Linked DNA regions of Caenorhabditis elegans. The protein of the gene in region 2 interacts with the protein of the main gene of each other region in a pairwise test. Each region holds a gene or a part of one and is shown on either strand. Other genes may lie near its edges.

Evidence for each region.
Region 1: the proteins of spe-44 (region 2) and lit-1 interact in binary tests that used the Caenorhabditis elegans proteins (3 or more experiments, as listed by UniProt).

The regions. Positions count from the first base shown.
Region 1 is NC_003281.10:13,712,132-13,717,252, reverse strand, and holds the start of lit-1 (Serine/threonine kinase NLK), read right to left. Parts: upstream 3,209-5,121; coding exon 3,069-3,208; intron 2,696-3,068; coding exon 2,577-2,695; intron 1,756-2,576; coding exon 1,582-1,755; intron 1,504-1,581; coding exon 1,402-1,503; intron 1-1,401. UniProt on the Caenorhabditis elegans protein: Has a role in the Wnt signaling pathway controlling the asymmetry of cell divisions during embryogenesis. Operates in the AB and EMS cell lineages influencing cell specification.
Region 2 is NC_003282.8:12,451,413-12,456,320, forward strand, and holds spe-44 (Transcription regulator spe-44), read right to left. Parts: upstream 2,804-4,908; 5' UTR 2,670-2,803; coding exon 2,514-2,669; intron 2,457-2,513; coding exon 2,288-2,456; intron 2,227-2,287; coding exon 2,130-2,226; intron 2,070-2,129; coding exon 1,861-2,069; intron 1,564-1,860; coding exon 1,351-1,563; intron 1,304-1,350; coding exon 873-1,303; 3' UTR 651-872; downstream 1-650. Other genes in the region: smz-1 (PDZ domain-containing protein), read left to right, coding at 3,780-3,908, 3,956-4,219, 4,274-4,705. UniProt on the Caenorhabditis elegans protein: Transcription factor which controls spermatogenesis and sperm cell fate by regulation of sperm gene expression.

The DNA.
Region 1 (5,121 bases), on a different chromosome or scaffold from region 2:
AAAAATGAATAGGACGAAAAACTAAAAATGTAGGACATTCCATTTTAGCGGAATTAATATAGTCCAAAGGAGCACAAAATGTAGTCTAAGCACATACTCTCTACTTATTTCTAGATCTGAGCTGAAATCTAATTAATTCCACCTTTACGTATTCGCTGTTGCCATTATCTCCCTTTTTTCCATTTCACTCAAAAATTGCGTCACTAGCAATATAATCTGTGTATATGCGTTTTTCGACATATCTAGTGTTATGTTCGTCATAACGTGAATTTGTGTGTATGTGATCAACGGAGTTCACATGTTTGAGCGTCATAAATGAATCGTTAGTGAATTTCAGATTGATAAAGATATATCGAATAAAGATTAACTAAGTAGTGTTTAACTGGTTTTCATACTAAATTTCAGAAAAGAAAATAGGCATTTTTTATATATAATTTTCCGTTATTCAAAAAAAAATTAAAAGGAAGAATCGTTTTTCTATCAAGTAATTAATTGTTAAACGAACAATTTATAGGCCAATTTTTATTTCTACGCGGAAAAATGTCTGAAAAATTGACAATTAGTGTTCCAATTTAAATGGCAAAGAGTAAGAGCATCATAAAAATTTTTTTCACAATATTTTTTTTTGGAAATGATAGAAAATTCAGAACATTAAAAAAAACGGGTTTATTCGGAAAAAATGGCTCAAAAAAGCCGAACTTGATCTCTTTTTTAGTCATCATATTTCGCAATAAATGTCTTTCAGATTTCTGTTAGAAAATCGTAGTAGTTCTGAGAAGTGAGTCACGGTGAACTGAGAAAATTCTAAGAATTCCAGAATAAAAAAAACACCCCGAAGCTGATGACGGAGAGTAACAACAACAAAAAACATGTGCTTTAACAGAGAAAGCAGTCTTTTCTAGAAAGAGCGGAGTGTGTTCTTTGTAGGTCATTCAGGGGAGACAAGGACATTACGGTAGAGGAGATGGAAAATAAAGTAGTAGAAGGACTTGTGCACTTTGACAGGCAGCAACTGATTAAATTTGTAAAGACCGGCTAACAGAACTACACGTGAACTTTGAGATATTAAAAAGTAAACAAAAAGGGAAATGGTTCGAAAGTTTGTTAACAAATCAAGAAAATAGATTTTTACAAATATCATGATTCAAAAAAATTTTGTTGGGAATTTTGGTTTTTACAGAAAAATTTGAAACTATTGTTAAAATTAGTTTTTAGTTTTAAAAACCAGATTTTTGAGGCTTGAAAATTTTTCCCAATATTTTTTTTTATCTTTCAAAAATTTCATAAGTTAACTTTTAAAAAAAGGGAAATTGTTCCGTTCATTTTTTAATGTTTTTTTCCGGATTTTCGGTAATTATTTTTTAATTTTTTGTTTTCGTGAAAAAAAATCGGTCGACTCACCAACTAATTGCTGATGATGATGGTGAGCCTGCTGTTGCTGCTGCTGTTGAACCAAATTCTGAAGATGGTGGTGCAGAGCAAAGTGTGGTGGTTGTTGTATTACTGAAAAATTAAAAAAAACATTACTTTTTTATTGAAAAAAAAAACAATTTTCAACGTTTAAAACATTATTTAACAAACCGTCAGATCGTGGCACAACTGCTGAATAGTGTGGTTGTGCCGCTTGCGGCTGATGATGATTGTGATGGGTGGCGGCAGCGACGAGCTGGTACTGTACCGATGGGTGAAGCTGCTGGTGATGTTGATGGTGAGCGGCGACGGCGGCCAGCTGGTGTTCCGGTATTATTGGGATTGCTGAAACAATTCTTGATTAATTATTGAGTTTTTCGGAAAATCCTCTGAAATTGGCTAAAAATTAGACAATTTCATGTGAATTATATGAAGAGGTACTGAAAATTGTTGAAACTTTGTTTTTTTTAATGATAAATTTTACACATTTTTTAGCTAACAAAGCGAAGAAATTGAGCAGAAAAACAAAAATTCGAAACGAAAAAACAAAAACTTTTTTAGAATTTCTCCGATCGTGACGAGACCTACTGCAAGAGACAGTTTGGGCGCCTTTAAATCTTACAGTACTGAACTATTTGAAAATTCGTGTTTCGGGAGCAAACAATGGGGTTTGGAAATTTCGGTTAGAATGAACATTTTAAAATAAAAAATTTGTTTCAATTAAATATTAAAAAAAGATATCTTAGGCACGAAAATCGAGAAAATATTATAAAATGTATGATTTCTCGAATCGTGGTGGAACCCAGTACGAAACTAAAGGTATGCTCCTTTAAAGTTTACAGTACTTTTAATTAATTTTCATTTTTCGATCAATAATTCAACGGTTAGGTTTAAAAATTAATTATCCATTTTCCAAACTAGTTTAATTGTTTAAAAAGAAAATTTGTAGACAAATTGAACTGGATTATAAAAGCAAATCAACTCTAATTCTAATACAAAGATTAGCGAGCGTTATTTTTTTCACATGAATGAGCGAAAATCTCAATTTCTTAGCTTATTAAAAAAAACAATAGGGTCTCCCAACGAATTCCACAAAGTTCGTGGCGAGACACACATTTCCGGACATGTAAAACTCAATTTGTTTTAATTTTTCCACAAAAACACACCCTGACTGAGAATCTGTTGCTGTCGGGATATAAGTGCGGCGTGTGCAGCTGCAAGATCGTAGAGCTCTGTAGATGACGAACTACAGCCGGATGAACTGCTTGATCCTGGAATTTCTGGACTTGAAAAAAAGAAAGAAAAAAGAAAGAAGAAAAAAGAACATGAAAAAGTGAGGCGGAACTAGTGTTATTCATTCATGACGAGAGAGGACGCCTTCTTTTTTTTTTGTTTTTTTTCTAGAGAATTCTGAAAAAAAGGAGGAAATAGATGAAGAAGGAAATAAAAGTTGTTCTCCTCTCGGAAAACGAAATTGTGCCAAATTTATCAAGCCAACAAAAAAATTTCCAACAAAAAAACCAAAAATGGTTTAATAACGAAATTTTTCAATGTATTATTTTCAGGAGAACTGCCTATTTAAAATATTTTATGATTGACAAATTTAAGCAATACAGAGGCTCATAATGAACATTTTTTGTAAACATGTGAAAATTTACTCGGGGAAAAGGCACCCGCAGAATTCGTCCTCCGTGTCTTTCTGAGACGAGTAGAAGGAAAGTGAATCGTCATCATCTTCTTCTTGTTCTCGAGAAATATAGAGATAGTACGCATCCTTCCCCCTTCCCCACGACACCATCACCACCCAACACCGTCTTCCTCAATACGCGTCTACGATTCATCTCGGATCTGTAGGCGAGTGAGCGAGCGCGCACGCACCCCTCCACTGTGTGTGTGCTAACAGGACTGAGAAGAGAGACCTCACTACCTGTCGCCACCAGGCCCCCGGTACCATGTACGTTGAGGGTGATGACCCCGACCTCCCCAAGGACCGTCCCTCGGGATTTCGAAATTTTTTATTACTCTGTTACTTTTGGGGAACGGGAAAATAACAAGAACTTCTGATATGTTCTGATATGAGGATATGTGTGCGCCATGTGAAAAATTAGTTATATAAATTGCTAGCATATATCATTATGAAGACTAACTTCAGAATATCACATTAGAATTAGTAGTGGTTCAGACTTTTTCTGAATTCCCGGAAAAAGTGTCCGGGAATTGAGCAGAAAAGTACACATTTTCTAAAACGAGGCTCCTCGAAAGATAAGGACAACTAATTTGGAAACACCTTATTCTGGTACTTTTGGGGGCGGGGAGAGGACAAGGGAGTAAAGTAAAGCTGGAAAACAAGTGCTAGCATACAGAATAATGCGAAAAATTTACAATTTCATTGGCAAAAAATGAGGAAATGCAAATATCGAGGAAAATTATAAAAGTTCGTGGTGATTTGAAATAAAAAACCACTAAAGTACCAAAAAATTTGCCGTGGCAATATGGCAAAACTTTCAACAAAAAGCATACTGTATATATGAGAACGTTGACTACAGCTGATCGCGAGTAGCAAACTATGAGATGCACAAAGAGCAAGAGAGACGAGAGAGTGTGTGGCAAGGAAAACGGCCACCCAGCAGCAGCAGCAGTAGACAGACCCCCCCCCCCCCGCGAATTCGAATATTATGTAGCAGTGGTCACTTTCTATTCGAGATAGTCGGGCGAGACACAGAGAGCACGACGGCGTAGAGAGTGGTCAAGGGTGTGGAGACGCAGAGAGATACGGAACGCACTCTCATACATCTGACTGACCACTCAAACGGACGCAGAAGACCGAAAAGCTGCGAAGAAGAAGAAGCAGAGATGTGCTCCCCTAAGAACCAACTACTACTATTACTACGATGTACCCCATCCCCGTTTCATTTGGAATTTAAAATTTTCAACAGGGGTGTCTGTTGTTTGGCATGCTGACAGTTGGAGCAAGGATGTCGTTTTTGGCAACAAAAAATCGAAACTCTGATTCTCCAGAATGTTTGTTTTCTCAATTTGTGGTGCCCCTAATCGGAACTTTCTCTAAAAGCCGGGAATCTGATTCTCCAAGTTTTATGTTCGAAATTTCTGAGCCAAAACTCAAACAAAAAACTTGGGAAGTCTGAAATTTTGTAAAACTCGAAGAAAAAATCTAACAGATCCGGTTCTACAGATGTTGTAGTTCCTTTACATTGTGGGCTCTATCTACAAAATCTGATTTTTTGTTTTTTATGAAATATTTCATATGAAATGAAAATTTGATCCGAAAATAAGAAGGAAAATTAGCAAATTTGATTCTTAAAAATTTGCAACTCACTAGACTTCGTAAAGTTTCTAATTCCCAAATTTTTCTGACAAATTATCGAAAAATAACACTGGTGAATCTGACCCTTCGATTTTTTTATTTCTCTATTTTTGTAGGGCTACGATATAAAAACCAGTTTTTTTCCGAATTTTGATGAAAATTTGCTGTGAACTCTAACTTCATACTTACTAGTTCGAACGAATAAAATTCCTGGAATCCTAAAAAGCATCAGAAAAGACAAATCTTGAAAGTTTCCGAGTGAAATAAAAAGTTCGAAGAAAAGCCATAACACACACACACCCACATACATATATATCCAGAAGACGGCTATATATGTGGTTGTTGTTGTTATTGGGCACACACGAGACATAGCAAAAGCAAGCAAG
Region 2 (4,908 bases):
GGAGTTTCGTAATGATGTTTAGTCGTCTGCGACTCTTGTCTCTCGTTGTCAACGCGGGAACGAGGCAGTTCGCACACTGAGAATCCAAAGAGAATGTAAAAAATTCACAAATTGATTGAAATTGTTATGAAGTAAATATATATTTAAAAAGAAAGTTTTTCTGATGCCTTCGACCGATCGATAAAGCTACAGTTCAATTAAAGGGACACATACAGAAAATATCTGTTCGTGGCGAGACCCTACAGTAATAAAAATATTCGCGAATGAAGATTTATGCTTTTGTGCGAATTTAATTCTCAATTGTTTACTTATGAGCGGAGTATTATCTCTCTCAAGAACAAAATCCGCTAGCAGATGATTAGCACAAATTCTATTCATCTGAAAACCGATTGTGCCCTTCTGAAAGCTTGTTGTTTGCTCAATGATATATTTTCGTCTCTATCTCTTTGTTGCCATGACACTTTGATGAGTATTCGTGTGAAACTCATTTTTTGGAATCAAGTCGACGCAATCAATAATGTTGTTGATGAAGGCGTCTTAATTCCAAAAGAATGAGGTTGAAAATTGAATATAAAAAAAATAAACATAAATTAAAAGATATTCCAGTATTACGTTGTGACGAGTAAGAGTTTGTAAAACATGAATAGAAATTTCAAATGAACACGATTTCATTATAAAGGCATGAAACATTCTAGAAGAACTACAAACAATTTTCACCGGTATGTTGAGGGGGGAAAGCTCACAAGTAAGCAGTGGGCTATTCCACTGGATCAGAATTTAATTATATTCTATAAAACATGAAGTTCTAAAATACATACGAAAAAATGCACACACTATTTGTGCGTTTGTGGATTAAATCCGTAATTGTTTAATTATTGAATATGACTAGGTCCTGGAAGACATTCAGATTCTGGATAATCGTCGTACTTGCAAACATCAATAAGTTCCTCAACCTTCTCTTCTGTAAATTCTCGAGCAGTGTGAAGACTCTCTTGACTTGAAGATGATGTTCTCGGCTGATATTTGACACTGTGCTCCTCGGCCAAAGTTGATTGAATATCGTTAAACATTTCGTCATGTTTCCGCTGTTGGTAAGCGTTTCGTTCAATCGATTGAACACGATGAACAACGACAGGTGGAATTCCGAGAGCGAATGCAGTACGAGTGAGCATGTTGGCAGTGGTGGGAGTGACAGGATTATCCATAACGGATTGTTTCAGATTGATTGCACTGACAATGATGTCGTCGCAGAAATGACCGATAACACCGGTTTGTTGCATTTGAGACCAGAAATTCATAGGATCTGAAATAAAAATAAATTAGTGATAAATGTTATGTCAAATAGCTTACCGTTCTGCAGACAATTGAGAATATCATTGAATGGCGTGCACTCATTGGATTCCTTATTTGAAGAAGTTGGCTCTTCATTAGATGACATTGATTGCAGTGGTGGCGCATCAATGAAGAACTCCTCGAAGAAACGATCGTCTTGTGGCTCCATTTTGACCATTTGTCTGGGCTTGTTGACACTTCCACGTGGACGTCCACGAGCTTTTTTGGCGCCTGAAAAATGATATGTTTCCAGAATACTGGTAGTTATACAAAAGGAGCTAGTTTTAGAATGTTCTAGCAATATAGAATAATGTTTCCTTTATCTGAAAAAACTTATATTTAAGTTGGAATAGTTGAAAAGATGCTCACAAATCTCAAACTTTGAGACAATATTTGAGCACTTTTCCGATTGTTCCAACTAAAATATAAGTTATTTTTAGACATAACAAATATTATTCCTAAATTTTAATGAAAAATATTGAGAGAACATGTCAAAACTAGATCCTTTTGTAGAATTATCGGTCGTACTCTTTCTATTATCATCATTATCCGCCTCTTTTCCAGCCATCTCATTTTCGATCTCATATTTAAGTTGTCCGGCTTCAGATGTTCTCTTGGACTTCCGAGCTTGAAGCACCTCTTCAGATGGAGCATTCACATAATTTCTGCTTTGACACTTTCCACTGCATCGATTCATATGCTCGTAGAAGTCGATGGTCATTGCTTCCATGTGAGTTCTAGAATATAAAGTTTTGAGAAACAGAAGTATTTTAAGGGATTATTGTCTTGATGCTCACCTCAACGAAGATCTTCCAACACGGATGCTCGCCTTCCAATCTTTCTGACGCTCTTTGTCGCCACGGATTGTGAACTGCTTCGGAGAAAGAAGATCGTCTGAAAATAATTATATTATGAGACCCATTTTAAATTATCTGAAATAAATAAAATAACGAACTTCCCACTTCAATACACGGCTGATGAATCCCAGGGCACATGAACAGGTTGAGATGCATCTTTCCATTCACGACACCACAGGAAACTGGCACAGTCGGTGACGCATCTCCTTCGGGAATTGTGATCTGCAGTGGTGTTATAGGGCGCGGAAAATCGTCGTTTGCCGGATGCTGTAAAAATATGAATTATTAAAGCGATGTAATTATGAAAAAGTAGCTGAAACTCACTCCATACAAAATTTGATAAACATTCCTTTGACTCTCTTGGAATGGAGTCATCGTGGAATGATGATGATCAGATCCTTCGGCTTGAAATCCATCACATGATCCAGAAATCGGATGAGACGGCAACACGGAAGCAGCGCTCACGTCTCCACCGAACATTTTGACGTTGCTTTGCAATCCGAATAAAACCGTGAGTCGGGCGGGCCGTTGCAAAGTTCGCCACGTTTCACGTTAACACGTAAAGATTTCCGCGTCATTCTTTTTTTCATCTTTTTGGTACCACTTCCGATAAGCTGAAATTTCTTATTATTTTCGTTGGCAGATAAATAATGAATTTTTTGTTTTAAGAATATTTATTCAAGAGAAATGGTTTCAAAACGGGAAGAATCCAACTTTTCAGAGAGTTTTCTTTAATTTTTTACAACAAAAACACAATTTTCACACTAAACAACAGTTATTTAAATTAAAAATCACAAGTTGAACACTTTAAACGCGAAAAATAGTGAAAAAGTTCATAAAAAAGCAAAAGTGTGAAAATAATTGCAGAACAGAATTTTCTACAGTAACCTTAAAGGCGCACATACGAAATCGCGCGGCGCGTGGCGACACCATTTTACGATATTGGTCCTCCCTTGAACCTTCTGAAATCAGAAAGTTTTACAGTAATTGTAACATCACAAGATAGGAAAAAATGAAGAAAATAAAAAATAAAAAAGTCAAGAATTTTAGGATTGCAATTCAAAGGTTTTTACCGATCTTTTTAAAAAATAATGAGAATTTTGTTACTAACTATGATCTTTCATTTGATAGTATTAGTCATTAAAAAAAAACACACAGATCACCTTAAGTTTAAGAATACAATGAAAAATTAAGCAAAAAAATTCGTTGAAAACATTTTTTAATGCTCGTAAAATTGCTCCAAGGTTGATTTTGCCTTTTACATTTAATGATTTCAAATTTTGTAGAGGTCAATGTTTTTATGAGAGACTCGTAGGGACGGATTTTTTTTATTTGAAAGTTCAGATAGTTGAAAATATTTTTTTATATTTTTTTTTGTTAGAAACAAAAAATAATATTTTTACTTTAAAATAGAGTTTTTTAGACGAAAAAGTGATTACGTGACATGACCTTTGGGCCTTGTTTTTTATGGCCTAATTAATTCAGCATAAAAGGTCCAGATTTCGTCAGTTTTGTTCATATTTCGTCCGAAATCTTGAATCAATCGTCTTTTGAATCGCCAAAGCAGCCAAGAAGCAAAGGAGCAGAAGCATGGGTTCCGAGAAGATGATCGAGATCTGTATCGATATGGAAGAAGGAGAACCACTTGGTGCAACTCCGAATGACAAGCTTGTCATCACTAAAATCCAGGCTGGAACTATTTCCGAAGGAAAGTTGAGAGTAAGTTCTACAAAAGTTTAACCATTATTCTATGAAAAGTTTTATAGATTGGTGACCAAGTCAAAAAAGTCAACGGGCAAAACTGCAAAGATTGCAATGACTTTTTCCGTGCACTTCGCTTTGCAGCTCCATGTGCAAAAATTATGGTGAACCGCGATGAGAAGAAGGCCGAAGAGTTGGAGGCTCGTGTTCATATTCCTGAAGATCGTGCAAAGATCATTCAACGCCGTGAAGGATACGTCTATGAGTTGGCAACTCTTGTTTGGGTTCAAAATGGACCAAAACTTGGTTTGGGAATCAAGCATTTCCAGGTAAGAAATCAATCAAATCAAATAAATTCTAGGAAATTCATATATCTATTTCAGAATCGTGTGCTTGTCTCCCGTGTTGATCCTGGATCACTCGCCGAAAAGTGTCTCGTTCTTGGAGATCACTTGTGTGATGTTGATGGTATTCCAGTCAGTGACAAGGATGTTGCCAGAGACCTTCTCGTCAAGAACATTCAAGAAAAGGGAAAAGTCACTTTCGTCGTCGAGCGTCCCGATTCGATTGATGCCAAGCAATGGGCAAAGCAGGCATTGGCAACCAATCTTATGCAGCCACCATCTGTGCAAATGAACGAGGATGTGAAGGGCATTGCGTCTCAATACCGTCAAGCTCTTCCAGGATTGAAGCCTCCAGCAAAGAGTGCTATGTCTACTGGTCCAAGCGCTCGTCGCGTTTCAATTGTCGAGCAAACTCAAACACATGAAATCGGGCATGATCATGAGGGAAAAGCTCTTCGCAAGGTCAAGTGATGTGCCAGCAAGATGCCAGAAATCGCAACGTCTAGCTCGAATAAAAATTTTGTTTGAATCGCTTCTGCTGATTTATTTTGTTTTATATGTTCGAATACAGATAGTTTTTTGGGTATGTGAAACGCCCACAAAATGGCTCCTTTTAGGCAGGAGTGGTCAAAATACTACCGTATTGCAGACGATTTTTGTTTGAAAGTTGTTTG